4 linked regions of the Drosophila melanogaster genome follow. The protein of the gene in region 2 purifies or fractionates together with the protein of the main gene of each other region. This does not show direct contact. Each region holds a gene or a part of one and is shown on either strand. Other genes may lie near its edges.

The links.
Region 1: the proteins of CG16826 (region 2) and CG31198 purify together in Drosophila melanogaster (affinity purification with mass spectrometry, with the first as the bait; one large-scale study listed by BioGRID). This does not show direct contact.
Region 3: the proteins of CG16826 (region 2) and Vajk2 purify together in Drosophila melanogaster (affinity purification with mass spectrometry, with the first as the bait; one large-scale study listed by BioGRID). This does not show direct contact.
Region 4: the proteins of CG16826 (region 2) and CG32473 purify together in Drosophila melanogaster (affinity purification with mass spectrometry, with the first as the bait; one large-scale study listed by BioGRID). This does not show direct contact.

The regions. Positions count from the first base shown.
Region 1 is NT_033777.3:21,752,668-21,758,283, reverse strand, and holds CG31198 (uncharacterized protein), read right to left. Parts: upstream 3,961-5,616; 5' UTR 3,879-3,960; intron 3,724-3,878; 5' UTR 3,716-3,723; coding exon 3,027-3,715; intron 2,883-3,026; coding exon 2,166-2,882; intron 2,107-2,165; coding exon 991-2,106; intron 933-990; coding exon 632-932; 3' UTR 526-631; downstream 1-525. Other genes in the region: CG31233 (uncharacterized protein), read right to left, coding at 5,110-5,616.
Region 2 is NT_033779.5:13,346,211-13,349,596, forward strand, and holds CG16826 (uncharacterized protein), read left to right. Parts: upstream 1-1,562; 5' UTR 1,563-1,586; coding exon 1,587-2,612; 3' UTR 2,613-2,810; downstream 2,811-3,386.
Region 3 is NT_033779.5:13,932,059-13,936,305, reverse strand, and holds Vajk2 (Vajk2), read left to right. Parts: upstream 1-1,613; 5' UTR 1,614-1,696; coding exon 1,697-1,708; intron 1,709-2,509; coding exon 2,510-3,310; 3' UTR 3,311-3,747; downstream 3,748-4,247.
Region 4 is NT_033777.3:13,302,790-13,307,841, reverse strand, and holds the start of CG32473 (uncharacterized protein), read right to left. Parts: upstream 3,079-5,052; 5' UTR 2,772-3,078; intron 1-2,771. Other genes in the region: CG43208 (uncharacterized protein), read right to left, coding at 4,091-4,284, 4,350-4,377.

The sequences.
Region 1 (5,616 bases), on a different chromosome or scaffold from region 2:
CCACGAAAAGTGAATCAACTTAGTTAGCCAGAATAGGTGGTAAGATCGATATCTGCAAGACAATATTGTAAAAGAGCTAGCAATAAAGATAGTAATTTATTACTTATGTCGGTCAGTTTAAGTTTCAGCGATATTCCTTGTCTTTTTTTTTAATTGCATCAAAATTAAAGCACACAAATTAAAAAAAAAAACCCTAATGGCTTAATATGGTTTGATTTATTACGCGCCAGACTTAAATTAATGGCTAATACAATCTAATAAAAAATAAATAAAACACCTTTTCGCCGGAAATTTCGGTAAAACTTAAAAAAAAATCGTTTATTGCCCTTCAACAAATTTATGGCCAAATAGTGATCGATTGAACCGTAGTTTTATAAAATCCCCTCAAGATCCCGAACTGAATCACCCGGCAATATTGTCGCTAATCAGATTGTAAATTAATTGTCGCCATGGGTGTCATTTAAGCCCATTTCATGATCGATTTTGCTAGCACGAGTAATAATAAACTAAAACAGCGGCTTATCTACAAAAAGGTGTTACTTTATTGGGTGCTCTTGCGTACAAATACTTTATGGCCTAAGGAGCACTCGTGACTCGATCGCACCTGACTCCAGTAGGAGCTAATCCCTGCTTAGTTACGCAGCATGGTGACCAGGGCCACCATCAAAAGGCTGATGGCGCTGAAGGCGTTGACCATGGCGCTTCCACTACGATAGTTGGCCAGATAGCTGCGGAAAACGCCCAGCTTGGCCGTAGCCCACTCCAAGTTCTCCTTAACGGTTGCCTCGGCGGCGGTCAAAGTGGCCTGCGAGCTGCCGAACTTGGCGCCATTAGCCTTGTTGAAGTTCTCCAGATCAGTTAACTGCTGATTTGTGGTGAAACGGGCGGCGATATTGGAAATCACCGTGGCCACAGCGGAGTAGCCGCCCATGCTGCAGAAAGAAGTGAATTATAAAATGCAAGCCAAACCAAATAATAGGATATACTTACGCCTCAGCCAATTCCTCGTATTTCTGAGTGACCAGTGCAAACACCGGACTGACATTCTCGTTGTTCTCCGTGTAGAGAGTGGCCAGCACGGATGACTTGTCCTGTCGTCGAATCTCATCGCTGATGATCAGATCGAACACCTTCTCGATTAGAGACTGGGTCTTGACGCAACCGAATGAGTTCTGCAGCAGGGTCTCCTCGGTGGCCACGGTCTCGTTCTTGAACTTGTTGTAAAGAGCCTGGAACTCGGCCTCACCACCTTCACGCAGACCCACGCAGTAGACAGTGGCGCGTATGTTCTTGGGCACGGTGGCCAACGATTGGAAGTAGCCCTGGGCCTGGCTGATGCAATCGGAGCTGCCATAGCGACAGGCCCAGGAGAGGATCTTAGTGCGTAGGTAAATGTCCAAGGCTGTATCATTCGATGCTTCATTGAAGCCCAGCTGATTGTAGGCCTTGTTGGTCAGGGTCTGGATATAGTAATTGAAATCGGCCGTGTCGTTTCCGAGGCGGATAGTCAAGTAGTTGAAGCCGTTGAAGGCGGATGTCCAGGGGATGTAGTTGGTCTCCGTCTGCAAATACTCGATCACATCCAAGGTAAGGTTGTAGGTAACATATCCAGCCCTGGCCAGATTGAACAGATCATCCACGATCTGGGCGCGATTGTTCTCGTGAATTCCTCCCCAGTTGGCTGTGATCAGAGCGTGGTGGATGGCATGCCAATTGTCGTCGGAGTAGGTGACACGGTAATATCCGGTCTGCTGAATATTGACCACAATCCATTTTATTGTTGAGTTGAATTGAACCGTCGTAGTTACGTTGGGTTTCAGAATAAACTTTGGCGTGGTGTTCAAAAAGTTATTTGTCTCACTGGTAGTGTAGGAAATGGGCACAGTATATTTCAAAGATGAGTCGGATCCATCGCTCTCCTTCAGCAGGAAACGCTTCTGCGTGAAGCTGACCTGACTGTTGCCAACAGTTACATTGATCAGTGGATAGCCCACCTGCTCGGTGAAGCTCTTGAATATATCTTTGGAGCTTTCATTGTAACTGGAGTTGGGCCAATTGGCTTGCCAGGCTCCCAAGAGATATTCAGGCAAAGACGACTGATACTCGCTGTAAGCAAGAAAAACCCTTGAAATACAAGTCACATATTTAATTTCCCCACTACTCACTATTTCTTCAGGTATTCCTGCAGGGACTTCTGGAATTGTTGCTCGCCCATGGTGTGCTTGATCATACGGATGAAGGTGGCTCCCTTGTTGTAGGAGATGCTGTTAAACATGCGGCTCAGATGGGCGGGCGTGTAGGTGTTCTCATCGCTCAGCGGATTGGTGGCATTGGTCGAGTCCATGGCCATGACCGACTGCACCTGGTCAACCACAAACTGCTTCTCCAGCTCCCATTTGTCCTCGACCATGGCGGTGCCGAAGTATTGGAAATAGCGAGCGAATCCCTCGTTAAGCCAGGTGTAGCTCCACCACTTGCAGGTGACCAGATCGCCGAACCACATGTGCGCCTGTTCGTGAGCCACCACGGCGGCAATGGACTGGCGGGAGGCCAAGGTAGTAGCCGACTCGTCCACCAGCAGGGAACGCTCCCTGTAGGTCAACAGACCCCAGTTCTCCATTGCTCCGGCCGAGAAATCCGGAATGGCGGCCATATCCATCTTGTCGTTGCCCATAGAGTAGTAGTCCTTATCCAGGTACTGGCCCATCTCCTCCAAAATCTGGATACCCACATTGTAGGGGTACTGGGTCTGAGCATAGTACTCGGGACGTGCGTAAACTCCGAAATCGTCATCCTTACGGGCCACGAACTCGGAAATTATGAAAGCCAGCAGATAGGTGGACATTTTGGGCGTCGTCTTGTACACGTCCGAGAAAATACCTCTAATAATTGGGTGAAATAAAACATAATATTCAGATCAAGAAATAACAACTTTCTCGTTAATCGATTAAATTCTCACTAGATAGTTGAATTTCTTAACCAATGGAAGGCTTACAGATTAACAATAAAGTGGTGGAAGTTCTTACTCTTCAGTGCTGGGATACGATGAGATCAGACGGGTGTTACTGACCGAGTTGAAGGTCCTGTGTCGCTTCAGCGTGACATCGAAGGTGGCCTTGAACTGGGGCTCATCAAAGCTGGGGAAGGCGCGACGAGCGTGATGGGTTTGGAATTGGGTGGATCCCAGCCACTTGGTAACATTGTTATCGTCCACATAGGAGCTGCGATAGAAACCGTGCATATCGTCCTCCATCAGACCGGTGTACACGAAATGCAGTATATATGTCGTATTGGCGGTCAAAGCAGTTGACGCCGTCAGCTTTACAATATCCGTATCATAGTTCGTTGTATTGGTGGCACTAATTTGGATGACCGTAGGATTGGCCACTTCGGTGGTTGGCTTTTGCCAGTATTCCCTGACCGAATATGTGAGGTTTTTCGAGTGCAGATAGATGTCGTTGGTGGTCTGGTTGGAAATCACCTCGATCCAAACCTCGCCATCGAAGGTGAACCTCTTGTTGCCATCGGTCTCCAGCAAATAGGGACGCAGCGTAATGTTGTAGTTAACCGGCGTGATGTGCTCGGCCAGGCGGTATTCATTTAGCTCGGTGGCGAGCGTCGCCGGCGGCTGGACATCCACAGACAGTTGCCGAGTTCCTGCCGAGGCCAAGGACACACAGGCCACCAGGAGAACAGCCACTCGCGGGGCAAACATTCTTCCTACTAATGAAATATCAAAAGGGATACAAATTAAAAACTTAATTAATCGCATCGCTAGTACGTGTCTAGTAATTTAAAGTTTTTTTTTTCACTTTTATAAGGATTGTTCCAATTTTACTTGAAAAATCCCCATTTATATAAGCACTTATTAAACTCACTTTTCAAGGGTTCGATCGCGAACCTCGGACTAGAATTAGTATTTCGCACGCCACTCGGCCAGCGATTCGATTCGAAAACTAAGTGAGTTTTGGCTTTGGGCCCGGTATATATGGTGAATGTAAACCATTTTGCGACTTTGCTAGTATCAGCGGCTTATCTGCAAACTTTAACGTTTTATTTCGGCCCAGATAAAGTTCGCCTGGTCTATAGATTAAGCTGCGATAGCGATAAGGGGTCGTGATTTACACACTCCGCCATTGGCTACCAATCCAAGCTGACAATATTTTTTTGAAGATTGCCAGACGATGGCATAACATTTGCTGTCCGTTGCACTGCTTCTTTGAGACTTTATGGTGCATTGCACCCAATCTTATCGAGCGTGATTTGCAGTCTTCCAAAGGGGAAAGCTTTTAACTGCCAAGTTGTTGCTAATGTTGGTTGATTACAAGATACTTCGTAAATAATGAAACAAACATGAATAGGTTTGTCTGAATTTTTTATATGAGCATCCAAAGAATTGTCGGTCCGTACATTTTACCTTGTATTCGTTTGGATTAACTAACGCTATCGCAAAATGGCTTATCAACATATGAACCACATTATGTTAAGTGTATTGTACTCTTAAAGGAACTTCTTCCTGCTATGAAGCATTTAATGAGTATTATTGATTGATTAGTGGCCAAAGCAAATCAAAAATTGACGGCAAACGCTTATTTACGGCACAATAGAGTATCAAAGCTATTGAAAAAACACATTTGTCAAGCATATGAATGATAAACAAGAAAATATATCTGCACACCGCCCCCAGTAGTTTGTTAAATTTGCAAAAACCGCCGATTATAAAACTGTATCCACCAAGTTATTAAAGTCATAAAAACCCCTCAAGAAATTTCAGTCTTTGTTTAATTCCTTTTATTATATTTATATTCGACCATTTGTGAAACTAAAGGCTAACATGATTTCGTTCACACTTATGAAATTAGTTGCCAAGGCTGATTACCCATGTATTTATGGCTCAACTGTGGTCGTAAGAACAGAGTTTTTTACTTTTCAAAAGAGGAAATTTATGAAATACTCACGCTTATCTGACCACTTCGATCTGGCAATTCACGACCATAAACCTATGAAGGGAATTGTAAATTCCCAGCAAAAGCAAACAATAGTTTTAGGAAATTAATGGAATTTATTGGGCGCACAATGGAAATCTATAACTAACTTAGGATCTACGTTTTAGAATAGCTTGGCGGCCAGAAGGCAGGCAAGGATTGCCAAAATGGAGGCGTTCAGGGCGGAGCTGCCGCTGCGGAATCCGGCGACCCAGGTCATCAGGGGATCCCTGTTGGAAGCCAGCCACGCGTAGTTGGCATTCACGTTGCTATCCACGCTATCCTGCAGAGTGCTGGGCACATACTCAGAACCCTTGACAGTGTCCACCAACTCTTGCAAGGCATCCTTCTGCTTGTCGTTGACGGTATAGGCGGAAATACCCACAATGTCGCTGTACAGAGGATTTACGCCACCAAAGCCGGAATTTAGCTGACCATACTTTTCCCAGTTCTTCTGCAGGAACTCAATGGCGACCAGCAGACCCACCTCGCCGCGGGAGTAGACCGGACTCAGCACCGTGATCCTTTCCTGATCCCTCAAACCCTCTGGCTCAATGCTGCTGTACACGAACTTCTCTAGCTGGGCAGTGTTCTGGGAGCAGCCCAGGGCGGAGATCAGAAGACGACGCTC
Region 2 (3,386 bases):
GTGATATTTGTGATGTAATCCCACTTACATAAACTTTTTTGAGCTAGCATTTAAGCTCATGCTTCTCGAATTCCCCACATGAATTGCTTTTCTTAAATGGACCAGACTCTCCCACTCCACACCTGATGTCCTCTAAATGGAGCCGATGATGAGCGTGATCCGCCAAAGGCAAGTTACTGCCCATACGACCCGACCCGACCTCTTTCTTTAAACAGGTAATTGCAATTGCGACATCATTATCATATGCTAAACGGAACTGATTGCTATTGAAACGGTTTTGAGGTTTGAATTTCTTTTGAGCTGAAACATATTTCTAATTAAATTAATTAAGCGAAGCGAGAATATGGCAAGTATGCAAGCCAATTAGTGGAAAACGCAAAATTAAATGTCTGTGCATTGAGGAGACTGCAGCGGTGTGGAGTGGATGGGTGTAAAAATAGCTGGGAAAAATGGCAACCAGAAGAGTGCGGGATCGCTCCGCCAACCCATTGTCCTTGTCCATGGAGCACTTTGTTGGCCACTCCGGCTATAATTGCGTTGAGACATGTAAGCTTTTGTTTTGCAGTTAGGCGTGTGGCTGTGCGACAAAGTTAATGACAGCATAATTAAACAAAACTAACAGCAGACTAATAAAATGTTCATAGTGCATGTCGCTCAAGGCCTCGGCACATCACCACGCCATCACAACCCCATCACCTCGCCACCCACAATGCCAGCTACTTTCCATATCTCCAAATGTATATACATTTATACAATACATATACCTGGCGAGCATTTCATGTCGTTGTGTGTCAACGTTTGTCAAGCGACAATTAAAGTCATAATAAAGGCATGCTAAAGACAATTATTATGTGCACGTCCTGCCACGCCCCCCAAAAAGAACCACCCAGTTCGTTCGGTTAGTTATGCATAAAGTTCGCCACAAAAGGGTTTAACCTGAGCGTAAACATGCGCTCCTTTGTCTCGCAGGCATATAAATTTCAAAATTAAAGCAGAGTTTAACCTTTGTCCTTGTGCAAATGGCAGGGTGGGTCTATAACCACCTGCCTGCGATTGTGTGAGACCCGCATAAAGAGCCTTCGGTTTTAATGCACGCGAAATTGACTTATTTGATTTATTTTCATAGTTTAAGCCAAGGGCTTTTATTATAAGCATGCTTTAAGTGAGTGGATTTGAGAGGGGATTTTAAGAAAATGCAAGGCAAAAGTTATATTTATATTCGCGTTGTTAATTATTTATTGAGTACTGTATTTTGCGGTGATTAAAAAAATAACGTTGTGTTTGAATAAAGAAAATCATTGTCCTCATAACACTGAGAATGCATAAAATAATTTTTTTTTTAATTGCCCCCAAGTACAGTAAAACAAATGTGCACAGAGCTTTCTTCGAAAAGTTATCCAACCAGCATGCATTCCACTATTCGCTCATTATGGAAAGCGGCTGATTAAATATTAACTAATTTAATAAAATGCCGGCCTGCTTCAATATTGAAATAGTCAGCGAATGTATTTGCCCAAGCGCACGTAGCCGAGATATATAAAAGGTGGTCCAGGGTGCAGAATGATTAGGCTATCCGTTGACCGACGATGCATTCGACCAAGTCAGCCGTTCTCCTGCTCGCCCTGGCCATCAGCGCCAGCTGCGTTGTTGCCACACCGCATCCGGAATTCTTGGATGAAATCTTCGGCTCCATAAACCAAACTGGCCAGCACATCATCAGTGGATTCGTGAATGCCACCAGGAATGGCACGGCCATTGCTGGTGAGTTCCTGGACAGCATAAGGAACTCCTCCGCCCAGTACACGCACGAAACCCTGGAGTTTGCCCAAAAAATCGCAGATGCAGTTCATAGAGCCGCCACTGAGTCAATCGTCGACTTTTCCGCGACTCTGAGGGCGCAGATCGACGCACTGCATCAGGGGATTGATCGGGTGAGAAACATCCTGCAGCGAGAGGCACTTAAGGATGCTCTCGCCAGACTGCAGACCGTCAATACCGTCGTAAATGATCTGGAAGTGGCCGTGAATAACCTCAATGATCGGATAGACGAGAAGAAACAAGAGTATTTCGCCATAATCCAGAAGAAGTGGTACCAATGGTCTGACGCCCAATTGGAACGAGTGGATAAGCTGACGAATGGAGTTGGCAACGAGGAAGCCGAGGAGATCATAAATGAGCTACTCTCCCGGTATTCCGGATATCTGCACAGCTGCCTGGAGGAGTTGCAAGCGCAGCAAGCCACGTTTGAGCAAAATGTCCAAGAGGCCATCGAAAAGTACCACAATGCCACCAACGAACTGACGGACCAAGTCGAGCTCTGCGTCCAGTTCAACCTCAGCTTCCTGTCCTGCCGCAATGGCATCAATGAGGCACTACGCGGACTCGACTCGGCTCCCGCGGAGCTGCTCACCCTGAAGCTTCAAGGCATCCGACTACTGGCCATCGGCCTGAATGCCAGCGGATGTGTGGGCCAGACCCTGGCCGAGCACGAGCTGGAGAAGCCCAGCGTGGAGCGCAAGCTGGATGAGATCATTGCGGAGTACCAGGAGCAGCAGACTTCCACCGATGACGACTCTAGCTCTAATAATGAAACGACCACCATAAGTTCGTAGGATTTCGGGGAGTCATCCAGTAATGAATATGACAACTCCAGCAATGACGACGAATCCTCATGGAAATATTTACAAGAACGTATAGTGTATTTTAGGTGTCGGGTAGAAGCAGCAAAATAAATTACTCTAATGCAACTAAATTAGAAATTGTTTTCCTTCATCGTTTATCAATGATGTTTCTTAATAAACTATGCCAAGCTTCTCAAAATATTTCTTAACTTTGAACAGTACTTTAAAAATTACTCTACCGCAAACGTATTACCCAGATACCGATTAACTTCATCAATGGTGCAGCACATTTTTTGCGGATGCTAAAGCAATTATTTTAAAATTGTCATATTCATTTATTTAGGTAAGGCACGAAAGTCGTGGCAATTTAAAGACACGAGGCTTTAGTAGATTAATTATTTAAATGCATTCGATTCTGCCTTTATATGTAAATTAAATAAGGGTGCTAAATAATATAGAAAAAGGGAAAAAGAAACTAACTTGCACTCTTAGCACCTCCCCTACTAACAAATGATGCAAATGAACTGAGTGAATTCCCCTTAAAGGACTTCCCCAGCTGCTATAAATATAAATAGTTGTATAACAACAGTAACGAAAGGTATAACACTGAATTAACAATCTCAACTGCTATAAAAATGAACTTTTGTGCTTTTGTATAACAGTCAATTGAAGAGGACACGAAGCGCGTAGTACAGCGTTTATAAAGTTTTATGCTGTTATATTTTTCAATGAAAATGTGTTATTTCATATCGAATATAACAGATT
Region 3 (4,247 bases), 590 kb from region 2:
TCTCCTTTGTGCGCGTTTTGCGGTCCACTCATTGTTCACACGTTCCATTTACATGGCCATTGGCGAGTATTTCCTCTGCAGCATTAAAATGTCAAATTACCCACACTGCCACAGCATTCAATCAATGCACCCATATCAAGGCTTAAAACGCCGCTCAGCCTGGCCAAAAAGCTGAGAAAAAAAAACCGAAGCAAACAAGAATACGGAGCCAAACACAAATCCGAGATCAAAAGTTCAGTCACGAAGCCACACAGAATCAAGCAGACTATGCGGCGCATGTTTCTTCTGCAGCCAAGCAATTTACATTCAATATGCAACTGCAACTGCAACTGGATTTGTAACCTGAAATTTTCGGAAATGTGTGGCTAATGTGAATTTAACTTATGGCTGTGGAACACTTTGCCCGTTGTGTCTAATTTGATTATGTGACTGAAGTGCTCGCGGTCAGTTATTTATTAATGGCTCAAGGCTTTGGGGCAAAAATTTCCCAACACTAAGGACTAGTCAAAATTATGCATTAGAAAAGTATTTGTGATCTCTTTTTTAATGTATATATTTTTTAATAATTATGAAGGTTTCGTTACCAGCCAAAAATTACTCATTTATTTATGGTCCATAAATTTTAAACTCTTTATGTTCATTTTTAACTTTGTTAATATTTAATTTTTAATTGAATAATTATTATGTTTATAATTAATGTTCTTTTCGAATGTGTTGATTTCCAAAGATTTATGTAAAATGGTAAGAAATACAAGTAGTTTATTTTATTTGTCGTGTTCATTAATGTAATTTTACCTGGGAAACAAACACTAACACTTCATGTATTTATGTGAGATTTTTACAAAAAATATATTAATAAGATATATTTGTACAAAGGGAAAATGATAATATAATAATGGCTACATATAACAATACTAACTGCGCAAAAAGACGTCGGAGGAAGGGCTCCGATCTAAAATTACATAAACTTTCTAAGGACTTTTAAAGCTGTTTACTAAAATTTTAACAATACAAAATTTATCACTTTTCGAATATTCTAGAAACAAACTCTGAGACTCTAAAACTCTAAAGTCGTTGATTAAAATTCATACGTATATGATTAAAAAAGTCTATATTGTTTGAACTGTACAATTAAGAGCGATTCTCCAAAAGAATTGATTGGATCTCTTTGGTAGATTAAGGCAAAATTAAACGAAATTACCCATTTGCTATGTTTGTTATGTTGGCTATTGGCAAGAAACGATTCTTTCTACTAAACTGTGCCCCCAGTTACTTGGTGTCTGAATACTTTCAGTAGTTCCCAAAGATCGCTACAGTTGGAGCTCGAGTGTTCACAGATACGCACTCATACAGGCGCAGATCACACGGACAACATGGACACTGTCCGTGTGAGGCACCCTCTTTCGAAAAAGCTCGCTTGCTGACGCATTTCCTTTGGGCCACGGGCTCACACGGACAGTTGGCCAAGAGAGAGAGGAGCTGTCGAACGGATGGAGAGCGAGCTTTTTCAACACGGCTGCTGCGATCTCGATTCACGTCGACTGCGCAGCCGCGGCTGAAGACAATCCCGCCACAGCATCGGCCATATAAAAGCTCGCTGCGTCTGTGCGAAATTATTCAGTTAACTGTTGCGGGTTGGTTGAGACATACAAGCCCATCTTGATCGCAAAGTGTTGAGGAGCTAACCTAGTGCAAAATGAAATCCATGGTATGTTCGGTCTGAGCTCAGTGTGTTCTCCTTCGAAGTGCTGCTTAGAATAATTGTGTTTCAAAAACTCGGATTCAGTTAAAGTGACTTGCAAAAGAATATATATATATATATTTATGGAACAATGTAGACATATCGGTGTTGCAATTAAAGTATTTTTAAAAAGGTTTTTGCACGACTTCATCAGCTCTTTCAAAAGCAAGGATAGAACGGATATTCTAAAATGTCTCTAGATATGTTACTTTTTTGTGGCATTTTGGTTTACCCAAGTAAATATGAACATGGTTTTAAGAAAGGATTTTTAGAGAGAAAACTAATTGAAATATTTAATTTTTCCATTACCAGTTCTACATTTAAATCTTATTGAAAGAAATCACATTTCATAATTACTAAAATCGAAAAGTGTTAAGGATCATTTTAACCCGAAAAGGATAGGCAGTCCTAGAATATGTTTTTAGCATTTAAAAAAGAAAACAAAAATGTAGATTCGTATTAAAAAGCTTTGAACGCGAAACTACAAAGAGTTGAATTTGCCTTCTTCCAATTTGTATTTTAACCGAATTATTGCGAAAATATCAAGCCACATTAAGTATACGCCGCATGCCCAATATGTCAGGGGGCCTAGGCCACAATTGAACTTGGCTGGTTGCCCAGCCAACTTTCCACCCAACATTGCATAATTGTCATATTCCAAATTATGGAGTAATCGGGCGGAGGTGGAGCCGGAAGCGGCTGCAGTTGCATAACCGCCCGACCAAGCCAATTGGGTTTCTATCGAATTTAACCCACTTGTCATTGCAGCTCATTTTCGGCCTTGTGGCGATGTGCGTGCTGGTGGCCAACGCCAGTGAGGAGGCACCCAAGAAGGCCGTCGAGACCGCCGAGCCCGCCGAGAAGAAGCAGGAGAAGCGCGGCATTGGCCACGGTCTGGGCTACGGATACGGACCATCGGCGGGAGGCGCCATTCTGGGATCCGGCATCGGTGTTGGAGTTCCAGTGGCTCCCGCTGTCGCTGAGCTGCCCACCCAGGTGCACACCAACACCGTGGTGAGGACCGTGCAGGTGCCCTACCAGGTGGAGCGTCACGTTCCCTACCCCGTCGAGAAGACCGTCACCTATCCCGTTAAGGTGCCCGTGCCCCAGCCCTACCCCGTGGAGAAGATCGTCCATGTGCCCGTCAAGCAGATCGTGAAGGTGCCCGTCGAGGTGCCCCAGCCCTACCCCGTCGAGAAGGTGATCCGTGTGCCCGTGAAGATCCCAGTTGATCGTCCCTACACCGTCCATGTCGACAAGCCATACCCCGTGCCCGTGGAGAAGCCCGTGCCATACACCGTCGAGAAGCGTGTGATCCACAAGGTGCCCGTCCATGTGGAGCGTCCAGTGCCCTACAAGGTGGCCGTGCCCGTGCCTGTCCACGTTGAGAGCCACGTCAAGCCCGCCGTGGCCGTCACCCACACCGTTGCCGCTGCTCCTGCCATCATCAGCCACGGCTACTCCGGACACGGAATCTCCGGATACGGAATTTCCGGACACGGAATCTCCTCCTACGGCAGCTCCTCCTACGGCGGCTCCGCCCACGGTGGCTACCTCCACAAAAAGTAGATGAAATCGCAATGCTGTCGAGGGCCAAGCGAGAAGTGAAGTCGGGTGAAGGCGAGCGAACCAACCAACAAGTCGAAAGTATCCAACAGACATTAAGAATCAAGCACCCCTCCCTCTCTTTCCACGCCCAGCAACCGCCAACGTACGACTTACAAATTTAGTTTTAGTTTGTGATACCAACCGAAATTCTGGAAGGATCGGAACCAGGAGAAAATCACACAACTGACGCAATCCATTATAGAAAGCTTGCCAAAACCCATCCGGGGCGTTTGAAAAGTGCCTGTCTCCTGGCATCCAAATCCATCGAGTGTACAGTTCTTTTGTAGACAATCACAGAGAAATAACTGCTGACGAGTTGCTCCTTCGACTTTTTCACGTAAATTTCTTTTCTATGAAATATTTGTACATATTTAAATAATGTAAATAAAACGAAAATTAAAAAAAAAAAACTTAAGACTTGTACTTTCAGAAATACTGGGCTTTCCATTAAAAAAAAAAAAGATAGAAGTTCGATAGGATATTTTTAAGGTATATAGGGTATTTTCACTTAATGAGCCTTTTGTTTAAGCTGAAAGCTTAATTTGTATTGCTGCATTGCTATTTTGGAATAAATACATTTTTTTACAGAAGTTATATATCTGTCAAGTTAAAACGTAGCCATAAAGGACTACATATTATATATTTACATATTATATATTTATATATAATATATATATATATTATATATTTATGGATATTTATTAATTTTTATGAGGGGGTGTGGAGTTACTCTTAAGTGGATTAATACAGCTTATTTTAGTCAAAGGATATTCCCACAACTATGCAATGATTTATTTATTTATTATAAATTTTGGGAATTATTCTGAATTGCATTACAGTGCGTCAAGTAATTGTTCGCAAACAATGTTTTTAAAACTGTAAATTTAGTGAGTAGGCC
Region 4 (5,052 bases), on a different chromosome or scaffold from region 2:
CATTTTTTTAATCATAGTGTATAGTTTTTCTCGCTGTGTACGATTGATTGACGGATCACAAAAGGTTGTTGGCTTTTTGCCTGTCAATTTACGGAGTCTGTTGCACAAATCTCCGCAGGTTGTGCGATGGCAAGAAATTACAGATGCCATTATTAGCATTGGAAATGAATTGAGTTGCCCGCAGAGTCATGATCCACGGCTTGCTTTTCGAAAATGATGTCAGGATATAGGAGTATTAAGCCAAAAAAAAAAGAACAATACGCGATGCAGCTGAAGTATCACACGGATCACCATTCACTCGGAATTGTGCGAATTGAGGAATTCGAGGCTGCAGAATATGCTAATTTTCACCAGCCGGCAGGCAATTGTCTCTGATACACATGGTATAATACGTATACGCCCCCTTGCATCTTCCGCGGATGATGTAATGCTGACTCAATTAGGGAGCGCACATCGCACAAAGCCACCGCACATCGGAGTCAACAAAATTGCATGACTACCACCTTATGAGCGCCGGAAAAAAAGCAACCAGAAGATCTGCAGACAATGGTTGGTATATACATATGTACCATATGAGTTCATATATCTCCGACTTCCAACAGCCAATCGGACACGCCCCATTGCACAGATGTGAATATCTCGGCATTCTGAAGCCGATGAAGCGATGATCGCGGGGGCACAAGCCATAACATAACAGTTCTCATACTTCGCTAATGAGTCGCATAAATTTCACTACTTTGTAGATCGAGTCGAAAGCACACAGAAAAAAAAAACTAATGCGCAATACAGCAGCTTAAAAAGGAATTAATCTAAACATTATTTGATATAAGAAACGTGGATCATTTCTTATGCTAAACAGTAACAATTTGTGTTGTCAGATAAATTCAGATTCAGATCATTCAGATAAATATCCCTGTTTGTCACTCCATTATATGTTTGTTTACTTCAGAGCAGAGATGCTTTTAAATTTTGGAATTCGAAACTGAAAGCTTACATTTGAAACACGTTCTTCGGGCTTTTTAAGGTCATAACTTTCACAATAAACACAAAGTTATACGTGACAAGTGCGCCCCAGAAACACCCAAAAACTCAAAGTGAATCCCAGACATGGAAGAAATACTACCCATAACACCCGCGGTGGGATGAAATTGACAATGGTCGACTATACGTGCCTGCAATTTATGATATACACAAAGGGAAAATTCAAATAAAAACAATAAATAAAAGGAAGATGCGTTGACAAAGAAATGATTGCCACAATTTGCATGTTTGGGGTTAACGGAATGCGAAATAAATTTACTATTAATCAATGGGTTGCATCACTTTCAACACAAATAAACTATAAAATCGGAGAGGAAACTTCGGCCTTGACTTGCTTAATTTAATGCTATAGATTTCATGATATACACTTTATAAATAACTTCAATATTGGAAAATAGGAAACTCGAAACCATGCGATATTTACAAATATTTATGTAAGCTTTATCAACAGTTCATTGAAATATAAATAAATAAATATTTTATAAATAGAAGATCAATGAAATTGTTTATATTTCAGCATGTAGATCAATGAACTTCAAGGTGTTAAATTGTATAATTTACACACCGCCAAAGGTGTCAAGTGCCTTATCAATTCTGCCAACAACAGCCGTTAATTTACATTATTAGCACAAAAATCCAATTAAAAAGCCCTCCACTTTCGAAGGTTCTTTCCCACCGTTTGGAAATAAAAAAATTTCTATTTCGCCCAAGAAGAACGAAAAAGAAATCAGTGTCAATGAAAATGAAAAAAAGGTTTGACCACCGAGCTTTGACTGAACTTTCAAGAACAAAACAAACCCAGGAAACACAGCGAGAAACGGGTAGGGGAAGCTACTATGACAACAAGTTTCTTGGCAGTCAATGATGTCGACCCATTTTGTTGCGGCTTTTTGAAGAAAGTATTTTCTCAGCGGCCATTGAGTATTTGCCGCATTGAAGATGTAAACACGACGCATTTGCTGGCCAACAACCACAGATACACAGCAAAAAAAATCATAAGCAAATGATTACCAACAAAATCGAAGATACAAATTGAAGATCTAATGAAGAAGTAAAATGTCTAATTGCCGTAATTGTATTTATATATACAATTTATAATATTGATAATATTGATAATTAAAAAAACTGTGATATTAATTTTTCTTATAATCAGATTGGTAACAATTGTTGATAAATGTCAAAGAATGCAACTACGAACAGAATCTACTTCTCGTTGATAAGAGACATACCAATATAATCTGATAATGGGCTACGATAGATATAATTCTTTTCTTTTTTTTTTTGCTGTGCATCGATTGTGGCCGATTTAAGGCCAAGAACTTGCGCGGCAAGTGAACTATGTATGCATTTGGCTCCAAGCCTGTTTGCAGCGGTCCCAAAGGGGTGTGGGAAAGAAGGAGGGGAGGGGAAGGGAGCGGTGCAACCTGTTTGATTCAGCCATGTGGAGTTCTCTTGGCCAGCCTGCGATGGCCCGTTGTTTATCGAAACGAATACCCGTTGAAAGTCAAAGTTGGCATAGAATCCGGTGGTCACATTTCAGCGAATATTAAAAATAGTGATCGCCTCAATGCGCCCAATTAAAACTAGAATTTTGATCGCATAACGGCGATGCGGTGACAATGGTCATTTTGTATTGGCGTGGAGCTTTTGGAGCGGACTCAACGGTATCTGATTGATATGGGCCACTTATTATCTATTATTCCCGTCACATTTCGCACTATGCCTTTTACTTGATTTACAGTTGAAATCACAGCTTTTCGTGTCTCGTTTTTCGTTTTTCTTTTGTCTACGAATGGCATTAATTGTAACTTTGCCGGGTCCGAGGAATATTCACTCGGCTAATTTGATAACGGCAATTGCCGGACAGCTATCATTCTTGATTCAAATCGTAGGCGCGCACTCGAGAAATCCGAGAAAACGAAGAAAAGCGAAAAGAAAGGGGAATCGCGAGAATCGTAATTGAGATCGTATTTGCAGACGGAGTCCGCTCTTTTCTATCGCGACCGTCGCGCTCTGCTCTGAACTTCCGACTGAAGCGGGCTCCAAAGTTGTCACGGCACTCGAGCTTCTCCGGAAAGCTCTCTCATCAGCTGAGACCGGCTTTTTTATGGCCCCAACATGCGATGATCTCCAATGCATTGGGGGTATTCACAAGTGTGCTTGCAATCGTACTAGTTGCGGACAGTGCACTAGATACGATCTTAGCTACATAAATAGTACGATATAATAAAGATACCTGACATCTTAGTCTAGACATGCTAACAAAATGTTTGTCATCGCAAGATATACCTTAAAATTACTCACCTATCTACTCCATCGGCATTCGTGTAGTTGCTGATGTAGCTGCCCACCAGACTGCTCAGATCGCAGTCGAAACTTGCGGACAGTGTGTAGGCCTTGTTCATACTGAGGACCTCTCTTAGCGTGATCAGGAGCAGCTCCCGGGACTCATCCAAGTTGATGCTATCGATGGCCACGCGTATGCGCGCCATCATGTTCAGGATGCTGATGCTGTGCACATTGAGCTCCTTGGCGTGCAGGACGATCAGGTTGGTGATCGCGTTCAGCTGGAACTGAATGGACACGGTTCCCTCACAGGCGCCGGTCGTCAAGTCGGGATGGTAGTACACCTTGTACTTGATGGGCGTCAGTTCCGTGGGCAGGCGCCATTCGATCTGCGGGGTCGTAAAGTTTATTTAATATCCACGCCATCGATAATGGGCTTTGGCCCTATTAAGTGAGCAATGCGTTGATAAGGTGGCGATAGGAAATAGCACTGTTGTGGTCAGGTCGTAAACCAAGTGGACGTCGTTGCAACAAATATGCCTTAGCTGGATATAGTGGCTAAATGTTGTGAAATTAGGGTCCTAATTTATTAGGTGCAATTTCAGATATCAAACAACAATAGCTCTACTACACAAATATTGAAACCTAAGCGTATTTTGGTTTCTTATCCGTTTGCCTTTATTGCTTTATTGCTTTAACCATTTTTGGAAATAGATATGGATTTGAAAGCCATCTTTTTGAATGTTTGCCAGCACCCTAATTCTTATGAATTTCTTTCCGAAATGGTGGACAACAAGTGGCTTTGAATGTATTCCTCCAGAACATCCAACATCCTTTTGGCTTCGTCCAACTGCAGCAATAAATTATCCCTGTGGACGGCCACAATGACAAGGGCAACGATCAAGCAGGTCGATAATAGACCAAAGAATATAGCCACGCGCTCAGCGGTGATCAAGTCTATGAAAATATACATGAATCGGTATCGGTGTTTTCCCAAAACTTCCTTCGTTATCAATAAATACCCTTAATCCTGTCCTGCATGTGTCCCATTTTTGTGGCTCCTAACACTGCGTTAGCCGCAATTAAACTAACTTAAAAGACCCAAGAAATTAGACCCGTTTTGTATTATGATAAAAAAGAGGAAAAAAAACGCTAGCCAAGCGATAAGCACTTGAAATGACCAGTAAGACTAAGTTGGAACTTAATAAATTCGAAATTAGTAGCCATGCCGACTTTACGTCTAATCGCTGAAAATTTTCCCACTCTGTGTGAGGGTTTTTCTGAACTAACATCTTTTATAGCCGTGAAATATATTTTTCTTGCACTTCACTCACCTTTTCAGGATCAGGAAGTCCTGTCGGCAATGTCGGATAGATGGGATTGGTGGTGCTTCCTGTACTGGATGATGGCGAAGTTTCACCACCCGGAGATGTTCCTGCACTGGGGGTTGTGTCACCTCCTACGCCAGGTGTGGTGGTAGAGCCAGGCTCGGTGTCATCCGTGGGCCCATTGGGATTTGCAGTGGTGGTGGTCGTGGAAGTGCTGGTAGAGGTGGAGGACGTGGACGTGGTGTCCACCGTCAATGCGTCGATCTTATCGAGGGCATCCTGCAGATCGTTCTCCAGGTCCGCATTCTGAACGGCCAGCACAATCGTGGCCACACAAAAAGCAGTAGAGGCCAGGCCCAAAAAGATGGCCACTGACTTAACCGTCAGCCCTAAAATG